Arabidopsis thaliana: one gene and its partner. The protein of the gene in region 1 interacts with the protein of each later gene in a pairwise test. Each region holds a gene or a part of one and is shown on either strand. Other genes may lie near its edges. The genes, in order: ADK2 and AT5G20810.

The links.
Region 2: the proteins of ADK2 (region 1) and AT5G20810 interact in a two-hybrid assay, tested with the Arabidopsis thaliana proteins (one large-scale study listed by BioGRID).

Annotation. Positions count from the first base shown.
Region 1 is NC_003076.8:794,503-800,443, reverse strand, and holds ADK2 (adenosine kinase 2), read right to left. Parts: upstream 4,003-5,941; 5' UTR 3,872-4,002; coding exon 3,777-3,871; exon of another isoform or gene 3,588-3,776; coding exon 3,534-3,587; intron 3,437-3,533; exon of another isoform or gene 3,300-3,436; coding exon 3,253-3,299; intron 3,156-3,252; coding exon 3,124-3,155; intron 3,028-3,123; coding exon 2,926-3,027; intron 2,760-2,925; coding exon 2,615-2,759; intron 2,529-2,614; coding exon 2,431-2,528; intron 2,320-2,430; coding exon 2,249-2,319; intron 2,163-2,248; coding exon 2,096-2,162; intron 1,999-2,095; coding exon 1,815-1,998; intron 1,590-1,814; coding exon 1,447-1,589; 3' UTR 1,143-1,446; coding exon of another isoform or gene 798-1,142; 3' UTR 634-797; downstream 1-633. Other genes in the region: AT5G03310 (SAUR-like auxin-responsive protein family), read left to right, coding at 798-1,142; IDH-V (isocitrate dehydrogenase V), read right to left, coding at 4,505-4,696, 4,833-4,905, 4,998-5,107, 5,280-5,354, 5,483-5,644, 5,744-5,941. UniProt on the Arabidopsis thaliana protein: ATP dependent phosphorylation of adenosine and other related nucleoside analogs to monophosphate derivatives. Essential to sustain methyl recycling.
Region 2 is NC_003076.8:7,041,824-7,046,498, reverse strand, and holds AT5G20810 (SAUR-like auxin-responsive protein family), read right to left. Parts: upstream 2,699-4,675; 5' UTR 2,310-2,698; intron 1,766-2,309; 5' UTR 1,709-1,765; coding exon 1,136-1,708; 3' UTR 976-1,135; coding exon of another isoform or gene 944-975; 3' UTR 787-943; downstream 1-786.

The DNA of each region.
Region 1 (5,941 bases):
CAAGAATCTTATCCCTTTTCTTATATCTTTTAAATCTTATCTTTCTCCAGCATTTGATCGAACCCTGGGACCCACAATTTCACAACTTGAATAAAATGCGTCTCCTTTTTATAAGAAAAACAAATCTTTCAAATTTTAGCTCTTCTCTAAAGAATTTCTGCTTTCGTTAAATAACATCGTTAAAGTGATTCTACTAATTGTTAAAGTTATGCAAATCACTTTAAGTGATTCTACTACTGTGACGACACTCATACATTATCTCTATGCCAAATAGTTGAGTGCCAATGTGCATGCCATGCCGATAAAGATTTGTTTTGTATTCATGAAAATTTAAAGAAACCAAATAATCAAAACGAAGCAATGATTAAAGCGAAAGCCCATTGGCCATTGTTTGAGGGAAGATGCATGTTCGTACGATTTCGTATGTCGTAAGTACAGCTTGGCCGTAGTTGACCCCAAAAAACAAATAAAATAAGATGATGAACAAAGACATCTTATTTTCAAAACTAAATTGATAATGACGTTCCAAATATTTATACATATTTCTTGGTAATATATATGTATTGAATGGAATGTATTGTTTTTCATGATAACTAATGTAGATCATGTATTATTTGTAAAGACGACATGGTCCAAAAATAATCATTACCCATACCTATTCATCCATATAATACATACATTGAATATATATATAGTAGACCTATGTTAGTGACTTTGTGTATAAATACCCATGTACGGCACTAGTACTAAACCCCAAAAACGTCTCTCTCTTTCTCTTTCTCATCTCTCTCATAAACATGATGAAGAAGAGCAAGCTGATCGCAAAGGCATGGAAGCAAATGTCAAGCAGAGTTGCCAAACACCGCGTCGCCACCGGAAATCCTAAGGATCAATATCATATACCACATGACGTACCAAAGGGACACCTTGTGGTGTACGTTGGTAAAGATGAGGAAACTTATAAGAGGTTCGTTATAAAGATCACGTTGCTTCACGATCCCATCTTCAGAGCTTTGCTTGATCAATCAAAAGATGAAGCTTACGACGATTTCACTTCCGGAGATTCCAAGCTTTGTATTGCTTGTGACGAAACTCTCTTTCTCGAGGTCCTCCGTTGCGCTTCTCCTCGTTATTCGTTATGAGTCTTTGATTCAAGAAGATGGTTCTACTACTAACGTTTAGGTTTTTTTAATAATGTTAGAGGATCCATTTAAGGAGTTTGTGAAATGAGCCATTTTTAGGTATTAGCTGATGGTAGATATCATATAATCTTCTCATCGAAGCCTTCATTGATTAAACATGACTTGTCTTGTCTAAACCTATGGTGGTAATATTAATTAGGGAATAATAATGAGAATAAAAGTGGTAAAAAGTACACTCAAGCAATAATAATTCAAAGGTTGTTTTATTTGGAAGATATCACAAAACTGAGGGTAACCCAATTGTTTAGTTAAAGTCGGGCTTCTCAGGGTAAGTGCAGCCAGATCTTTGGATCACCACGTTCGACGCATAGCATCCAGCCTTCACGCATTCCTCAATCGATTTCTCTTTCACCAACTGTGACATAAATCCTCCCACAAATGCATCACCTGTAAGAGAGATCAACAAAAATAGTCGGTATTGGTTCTGTCTATGACACAGAGAAGAACATGTTTTGTATCAGTTTCAAGGAGAAAGTTCGTTTGAATTTTGAAATGCTAAAGGATCAGCTTATTCTATGATCATGTCAGTTTCTATCTAGTATAATAATAATAAGCATAAAGTTGAATGTAGGTTTGGTTACAACTCGGTCTTTCGATTATCAAAATTAGTACCTGCACCGTTGGTGTCAACCAGCTTCTCCTTTGGGAGAGGGATGACTGGATATTTCTTCACCTTTCCATCTTCAGCAACAACCACTGGATCAGCGCCCTGTGTAATCACAGTGGTCCTCTTGTATGTTCCTGTGGCCTTGGGAAGCTGTGAAATCTTGATGGCTATTTGTTCGACATCTTCAGTCTATACATATATAAACATATAAATGGTTAATTCTTATCTCAGCTATACAAAACAGAACAGCCTGCTGAAATTTAGTCGTGCTAGAGAAACTTCTTACCTCCCAGCCATGAACCCTAGAGAAGGTTCTTGCCTCTGTCTCATTGCCGAAAACGAAGTCCATGTATCTGTAAGATCAATGTAGAGTGTTATTCAGTACATTTACGCAATCAGAACATCTGTAATGGATAAAATAAAATTAGGGAGAGCTTACGGCAAGAACTTCTCCTGCACATCTTTGAAGAATTCACAGATGAATGGAGCAGAAAGGTTCATTGTGAACACCTGAAGGATAGGTGAATATGTAGAGGATGTCAATAAAAGAAGCAGTTGTAAACAAATAAAAGATTCTGCTGAAACAGAGTCTCATGAAATGGAGGACCATGTCTTAATTACCTTGTTGTTTGCAGCAGCGTGCTCAGATACCAACTGAATGGATTCAGGCGATACTGTGAGGAAGAATCCAGCAATGTAGTAGAACTTGGCCTTCTCAACTACCCAATACACATTTGATCAGTCAGATCACGAAGAGATAATACAGAAGTGTTAAAAGGATGCAACGATGGGAAAAGAATTTTACCCAATGCCCAGTTTTCAGGCTTCTTAAGGTGATCAACCTTGTAGCAGTTTGCAGCTGAAAGATTCGCAATAAGAGACCTTTCTCCACCAACAACACAGACACCACAAGTTCCAGTAGGTGCCGACTCATCTTCATAATAGTGAACCTGATACAAAAGCATAGTGTCATTTTAATGCACTTTGATTACAAAATCCGAATTCAGTTTCAACAATAACTTCATACTATCCTCAAAAGACAAACGGAACAGCAGCTGCGCATTGACTCAAACAGAAAACAAGAAAACCAAAGAAGAACCAGGAAACACAGCTTACATTAACACCAGCTGCTGTAGCATCCTTCTTCATGGCCTCTCCATATTTGTCCTTTCCAATGGATCCCATGTAACTGGTTGCCCCAGGAATTTGAAGCATCCACTGCAGCCACCAGAAAGTAAAAAAAAAAAACCTTGATTTTTAGCAGTGGTTACTTATAACCCATAAAAAGTGCAAGAAAAATGCAAAAGAATCTACCTGAGCCACTTTGATTGAGTTCTGAGTAGCACCTGAGAAAGAATAGAATAACCAATATATCATAATCTTGTCAACGTATAAACGATAAAAGAGTTACAGGATCGTCAAACAGGACAAAAGATTAATTACCTCCGGCAATGTATTCAACATTGAACTTGCTACTCATCTCATCATACCTTTTAAAAAAAGAAACAAAAAAAGTTTCAAAGTGAATTTCTGTTTCTCAAACCATCAACTATATAGTCTATATTATAAAGAGAGGATGAGATATTTAGCTGAAACAATCCAGACTTCTGAAGCATTGAATCAATCTCTACTTGAAAGTTTAAATAACATGATCAACACTCTTGATTACCACACCTAATTTTAACCCATCAAATACCAAAAGCAGAGCATAAATCAATACTTACATGGGCAAATGTTTGTCTTCCGCGAGAATCGCATTGTTCAACTTGATGTCGTATCTGTCAACACGATTAGAGAACAACATAAACAAAAAAAACGCACACAAATCACAGAGTTTATGCCACTGAAGAAGAATCAAACTATCAAATCTAGATTCAAACCAAAATCCCAGAGAGAGATAGCGACAATGGATACAGCAAAAGGAATTGGAAACAAATAGAAAAAGAGGGATCTGAGAGTTTATTTACTTGGTGAGAAATTCGTCGTCGACGACGGCAGAGATATCGAGGAGTGGGTTACCCATACCGAGAAGGATTCCATCGTAGTTAGAAGAAGAAGCCATGATGATGAATCTGAGGTTTAGGTTGAGATTCAGATCTGGGATTGGTTTTTGGAGGCAAGTTTAGTTACTGCTGCTGAGTGAAGCGTCTTGCCTTTATAATCTTAGCTCGAGGGGAAGTTGGTGCACCAACGACACATTATTATTCTCTTTTTAGATTTTTTTTAAGTATAATTTTTAAACTAAATTAGTACTCTTTTCTTTGTGGACCGACTAATTTGTATTGAAATGGTTTACAAATGTATGAGTTTTCTTCATTTGATGATTTTGTCATTTCATTCATAATCATAGTAATTTACTCATTTTATTCTACGAGTGAAAAGAAAAAAAAAGGTTTGGATGTATGTATGAAATTGATAAACTGATTGAAGTTATAAGAGTATGTAAACAATTCAAGCAACAAAACAAAATTCTTCTGATCGATTCAGAAAGAACATCACTTTTTCCAGTGTTATGAATCTTCTTGCCTTACGGCAGAGAAATTTTAAGGCAGAAACAATAACTTCAAAACTCATGAAGAGCCGTTTTTTTGCTTTTTCTTTTATTCTAATCGTAAAACAAGAAAACAAGAAGAATTCGAGGCTATAAAAAAGGCTCCCAAAAGAAGATTCGATAAAGAATTGGATTTTACGATGTTCAGAGATGATCACAGATTGCCTTTGTGAATTCCGTGGTGGTCGAACTACCTCCAAGATCCGCGGTTCTGTATTTGCCCTCTGCTATGGTGTTGATGATTGCACTGTGGATTTGTTCTGCTTGTTCGTTGAACTTCAGGTGACGCAACATCATCACTCCACTCAGAAGCAACGCGGTTGGGTTCGCCAAGTTCTACATCACCCAAAACAGAAAGACAACAACAAATTTAAAAATCACACATATTAATCTTTCAACATTGGATGCATAAATGATACTCTTTAGCCCGTAAATGATGAAATTGGAATGATATATTGTTTGAAGGACCAACCTTTCCAGCGATATCAGGTGCAGAACCGTGAACTGCTTCAGCAAGGGCTACACCATCTTCTCCAATATTACAACTGCGTCAAAGATAATAAGGCCTTAAGATGATGTAGCTCATAATCATACTAAAGATCACTATTACACAAGATGAAGGAACAAGTGTTTTTACCTTGGAGTCAATCCTAGTCCTCCAACCAATCCGGCACACAGATCGCTAATAATGTCACCGTACAGGTTTGGCATCACCAAGACATCAAAAAGTGCTGGGTTTTTCACAAGCTGCAGGTATCTCAAGATTATCAGTCGCATATTCCACATGTAAAAACAGTGGAAAAGCAGAACTCAAATACAAGTTGCTAAGAAACCAAACTTCTAAATCTACAAGGTGATCCCGAGTCCCGACCACTAACTTAATTAACGAAAAAATAGTAGATTCGGTGTCATAGCTTACCATCATACAGCAGTTGTCAATAACGACCTCCTCGTAAGTGATCTCAGGATACTTCTCAGCAACCTCACGACAACACTGAAAAACGGAAGCAAAATAAAAATGGTCTCAGAACAAAATGTAAAAAAAAAAAAACTAGCAGAAATAACAATCATTGCTTTGATCCCTCCGTATAAGAAATGCTTGGAGTTATAAAACGGGCAGACCTTGAGAAAGAGACCGTCAGTTTTCTGCATAATGTTGGCTTTGTGGATAGCAGAAACTCTCTCTCTTCCATGAGTCTTGGCATAGAGAAAAGCATACTCTGCAACTCTCAAACTCGCCTGACGGGTAATGATTTTAAGACTTTCCACCACACCTCTAACAACCTATTATATGCGTCAGGAGAAAACAAAACCATCATTAGAATCATTTATTAGAAGAACTAACCTGAAATATTCGATCAATAGACTTAAAACAAACTAAACCTGATGTTCAAGGCCACTGTATTCTCCTTCCGTGTTTTCTCTGATGGTAATGAGATCAACATCATCGTAACGAGTTTTGTAACCAGGAAGACTGTAACAAGGTCTAACATTGGCATATAGATTAAGCTCTTTCCTAAGAGTCAGGTTCAAAGAACGGTGACCTTTCCCAATTGGAGTAGCCATTGGACCTTTCAAACC
Region 2 (4,675 bases), 6.2 Mb from region 1:
CACGCATGTCATGCACAATTGCACATAAACATACAAACTAAACAATTAAACAATGAACGTATTATATAGATAAATAATTTTGATAAAGTCTAGACGGATTTGCATCTTTTAAAGTCGCAAAAGAAATATGATGACTGAGAAAAAAAAATATAATAAATTAAATCTACATGTGATGTTTTTTAATTTTTGTTTTGGCAAAAGTCATGTAAGAAACTGATTTTATTTGGTAAAATGCAGAATGAAAAAAAAAACGATTAAACATATTTAGGCTTTATGTGAAAAATTAGAAACGAAATTTTTTTCTGACTGGATCGCTAACAGACGAATGCAAGACTTGGAATGGGGTACACCGCTTTTTGGAGATTGGAAACACATGGAAAACCAAATAAGTAGTGCTTGGTGACTTTGGTCCCATAGCAAAGGGTGAAGTTGTGTCTTTCCTGAATTCGAGTGCATGCTGTTTGGGAGAATTCTTTAACTGTTAGCTCCGGCCCAAACAATCGTAAGTAGTGTATACGAATTATATACCAAATCCGACCAGTTCTTGACAATTCGACCACAATCCATCTTCCCCACATTGTTGCATATTATTCATTAGTCTACTTGATTGTCACACATAACAATTTTCGATAACAACATCGAAGAAGAAGACAAGAAATGTGAACATGTTTTCGTACAAGAAGTTATATTTTTGTTTCGTATCACACTTTGACCACCAAATTTTTTCACATCTAACATACATGTCCTAAAACTTAAATCCCCCTTGAAAAAAGAATGGAGAATCAATAAAGAAACCAGGAAAACACAAAGATAATCTGATTTTACAATTACACCCCAAAGTAATCATCCCTAATTAACAATTTCCATCAGTATATGATTAAAGGATAACAAGAGAATCAAAACAAAATAAATGTTTTAAGATTTTTTATCACTTGACTTGTATTTACTCTTCCTTTGCTGCTACTGCCTCCCCATCTGCAAAAGACAAGACAAAGCCATTAGTGTTTCTCAAGAATCAGCATAACAGTGTCTAATAACTAATCGTCTTGCTTGTTCTCTCATCAAACAAACTTGTGAATGTTAACGGGCTTGGCCCGGCCCATTTTAAACGCAGCATGTTTTTAGACCTGATTCTTCAGGGTTTAGACTTTAACCCAGTCCCTGGATTAAGCCTTGGCTGGCCACCAGGATTTGAGTTCATGGTATGATCTCTAGGTAAGAGTTGGTCTTTGGGGGGCTTACCAGAGTTGTCATCAGGATGAAGATCTTTAAGATTGTTCTCCATGCACTTAAGCAAGTACTTGAAAGTCTCGACCTCGCAAGGGATGGTGAGCGCACCGCTCTGATCAAACCCAAACTCTTCCTCTGCTTTCTCGAGCAAAACCTTGAACAGAGAGTGGCTAAGATAGCTTGTCGGTATGATAAACCTCCTTAGCTCCGGTCCAACATAAACAGCAAGATTCCCTTTAGGAACATCATGAGGCGGCTCAGGACTTTGACAGGTTTCCTCATCCGAGTCACCGTTCTTGACATCTAATAGCCTCTTGTTGATGGCGGGCGAAATCATCGCCACTGCTTGCTTTCCAGCTGCCAATGGAGGAACTTCTGACTTGGGGCCTATGGTGACGGTTTGCCATTTCTGCAAAATCTCCTTAAGCCTGACAATCTGCCTGATACCGGTTAACTTGGCCGCGTTGTTTTCATCCATCTGGCTAGTATAACGAAAGATCAAATGTCACATATGATCTTCTTCTTCCCTTTGTAGCTGCATTTACAATGTCACAAAACTGTTTGATTAGTTTCTTTCTGACTCAGTTGCATCAAAATAAATGAAAATACACATTACTATAAATCTGTGTAACGAGAAAGAATTAAAAATCAATTAACCAAGTTTATTGACCTCTAAATCAATTTGAAGCATTACTATATAAATAGGTTAGGTCCCAAATAAAGAAAAGAATATCATCAAAAAAAACAGAGGACCCACCCAAATACACAGAGAAGCAGATCCCAAAGACGTCTTTATCAAGGGAATGTTTTCTCAGATTCCTAAATATTATTAGGGTCCAATTCTTATCTATGGTAAACCAAATCAATCTAAAGAACATCAAACCCTAAGTTTTTTTTAAAATATAATTTCGCTAACTTTATTTAGCAAAATCAGCGAAAATGAATCCAGATTTGATCCCAATCCGCTAAATCAAAGTTCTTCTCAAAAACTGTAAATAGTTCAGATGAAACCAAAACACGTAGCTGAAACAGACTAATACGCAATCGTGTAAATTACATTATCAAAGAGTATAAATTACCTGAAGAGGAAAACGAATTGAAGCTTGCTTTAGCTATGGACACGATGAATAACACCATGCAAAAAAAAATAGCCCCCGAAAATTTGTTTGTTATGATTCGCTTCGATCTTTTTTTTAAGGATAATTCTGTTCTCGGAGACTGGCAGAGCTCAACGATGATGATGATATGAGAGGAAGAAGCAATTTCTAAGTACTGAAACTACAAAAAAAAAATTAAGAAAAAAAAATCGATAGAATCTAAATATTTGGTGGGGGTGAAAAAAAAACGAATAGAGAAGCGAATTTTGGGAGATGAGAGAAATTAGGGATTAGGCTTTATTTGGATTTTATAGTTTTTGAGTTTTCTTCGTTTTTGATTCTCTCTCGCACAGATTTGTTTTGATGGCTTTCCCGTCACTTTCGCCTTTTCAGGTTCTTCCGTTTTATTTTCTCACGTTCTTCTCGATACCGATGGTTACTTTATTTTCAATTTGACCCCTTTACTCCGATATTTACTTTATTTTACAATTTTACCCCTTTACTACTTTATTATTCATTTAACACCTCATCCGTGCCTTCCTTGTTAAAGTTTTTAATTATGTGATCTATAATGTATTATGTACTTTAACTTATTATTATTATTTTATAATAATTTACTTAACTTAGTTGATCCTGTTAATTTATGATATATCAATTTAGTAATAAGATAATTTATGTCAGAAGCTTATTATAAGATGTGGGCTTATTCTAAAGAAAAGATTATATAATTGTGGATAGTGTTCTTTTTGCTGAGGATCATGGATGGATTTTACAAAATCTTCTCTCATGTGCATTGTTTTTGATAAAGTTTCTTCTCATAATTAAATTCTTGAATTAGACAGTTCTATCTGTCTAAATGGGCCGTAGTATAACCTTTTCTATAAGGAGTAGTCTGATGGGCTTAAATGGTTGGTCTATAAGTTATTTATGATTTTTTTGTTTTTCTAAGAGTCTTATATATATTTTTTAATAAAAATATGACTCTTTTAATTTAGTAATAAAACATATCTTTCTTCTTTTTATTTCTATTTATAGGAGTTTTTATTTATTAAAACTTTTTATTTCTATTTTAGAAGTTTTTATTTATTAAAAAAAACAAGACAAGGAAATACGGAATGGTTCTTCGTAAATGTGTTAACTATTTAAGTGAAGAGAGTGTAATTTGGTCATTGTATACTAACTTAAATACAAAACAAAAAAAAAACGACGTTTACACTTTTTTTTTTTGTCATCTGCTTTTAATTATAACTCAAAAGAGTCATTCCTGTGGAATGTTGTTTACATAAGTGATGTGATGCGATTCAGAACGGACATTCCGTGCCAAATTATCCGCTTTTACATTTGCGCGTCGTGAGATTAAAGATAAAGAGAAGTTTGAAAACTCATCCTTGTCGCTCTGAAATTCCTAGAAATATCCTGAAAATGCTGGCCATTCGGTTGGGGAAGACACCATCTTCCCAGGTCTGAACAGTCTGTAAAGAACGCTACATCTTAGTTATCTGCACCGATCATACACTTCATCCCCCAAAGAAGAGCTTCAACTTCTGTATGTAATGGGGAGAGACTTCTACGGAGATTAGTAGTGCCCATGCTTGAGGTTTCTTCATTTGATGATGTACAAAACCATCCTAATCCTGAAAACTGATCACTCTCTTTCCAAGATCCGTCTACAAAACAACGAAGTCCTGCATAAACATTATCCTCTGAGATATTTCTCACACGAGTTCGTGATTCCAAAAAAGAAACCGGATTTTCAGAATGTAGCTCAACTTGAGCTGATTTCCACGATTGTGCTTCTTTTTCCGCTAAACTTAAAATATCAAGTGGATCTTTATCCACATTATCAAAAAGCTTTGCATTCCGTGCTTTCCAAATATACCAGATAATCCATGGATATGAAAATGAATCAACTGCTGATTGTACTCTCCAAAATAAGTGATCTAAATTCTCATAAATAGAATCCGAGGGAAAAATTCCTATAACCGTGGGAATCTGTGAAAGCGCCCAAATCTGTCGAGCTGGATGACATTGAAAAAGTGTATGATTAATTGTTTTCTCCGTGGCACCGCATCTTGCGCAACCTATATCACAATTTATGCCTCTTTTCCGTAAATTTTCTCTGACCGGCACGCAACTCGCTAAAATTTGCCACAAAAAGTGGCGTAGCTTTGGCGGACATTGCACTTTCCAAGAATATGCTTTAAGCAATGTGATCTCCGGACCAATAAAAGACAAATTTGTATCTATATATTCTATCCGAGAAGTATGATATCCAGATTTGAAAGTATATTTTCCGGATTTTGTAAAATGCCAACCTAGAGTATCCTCTTTGTTGGGCGCACCCACAT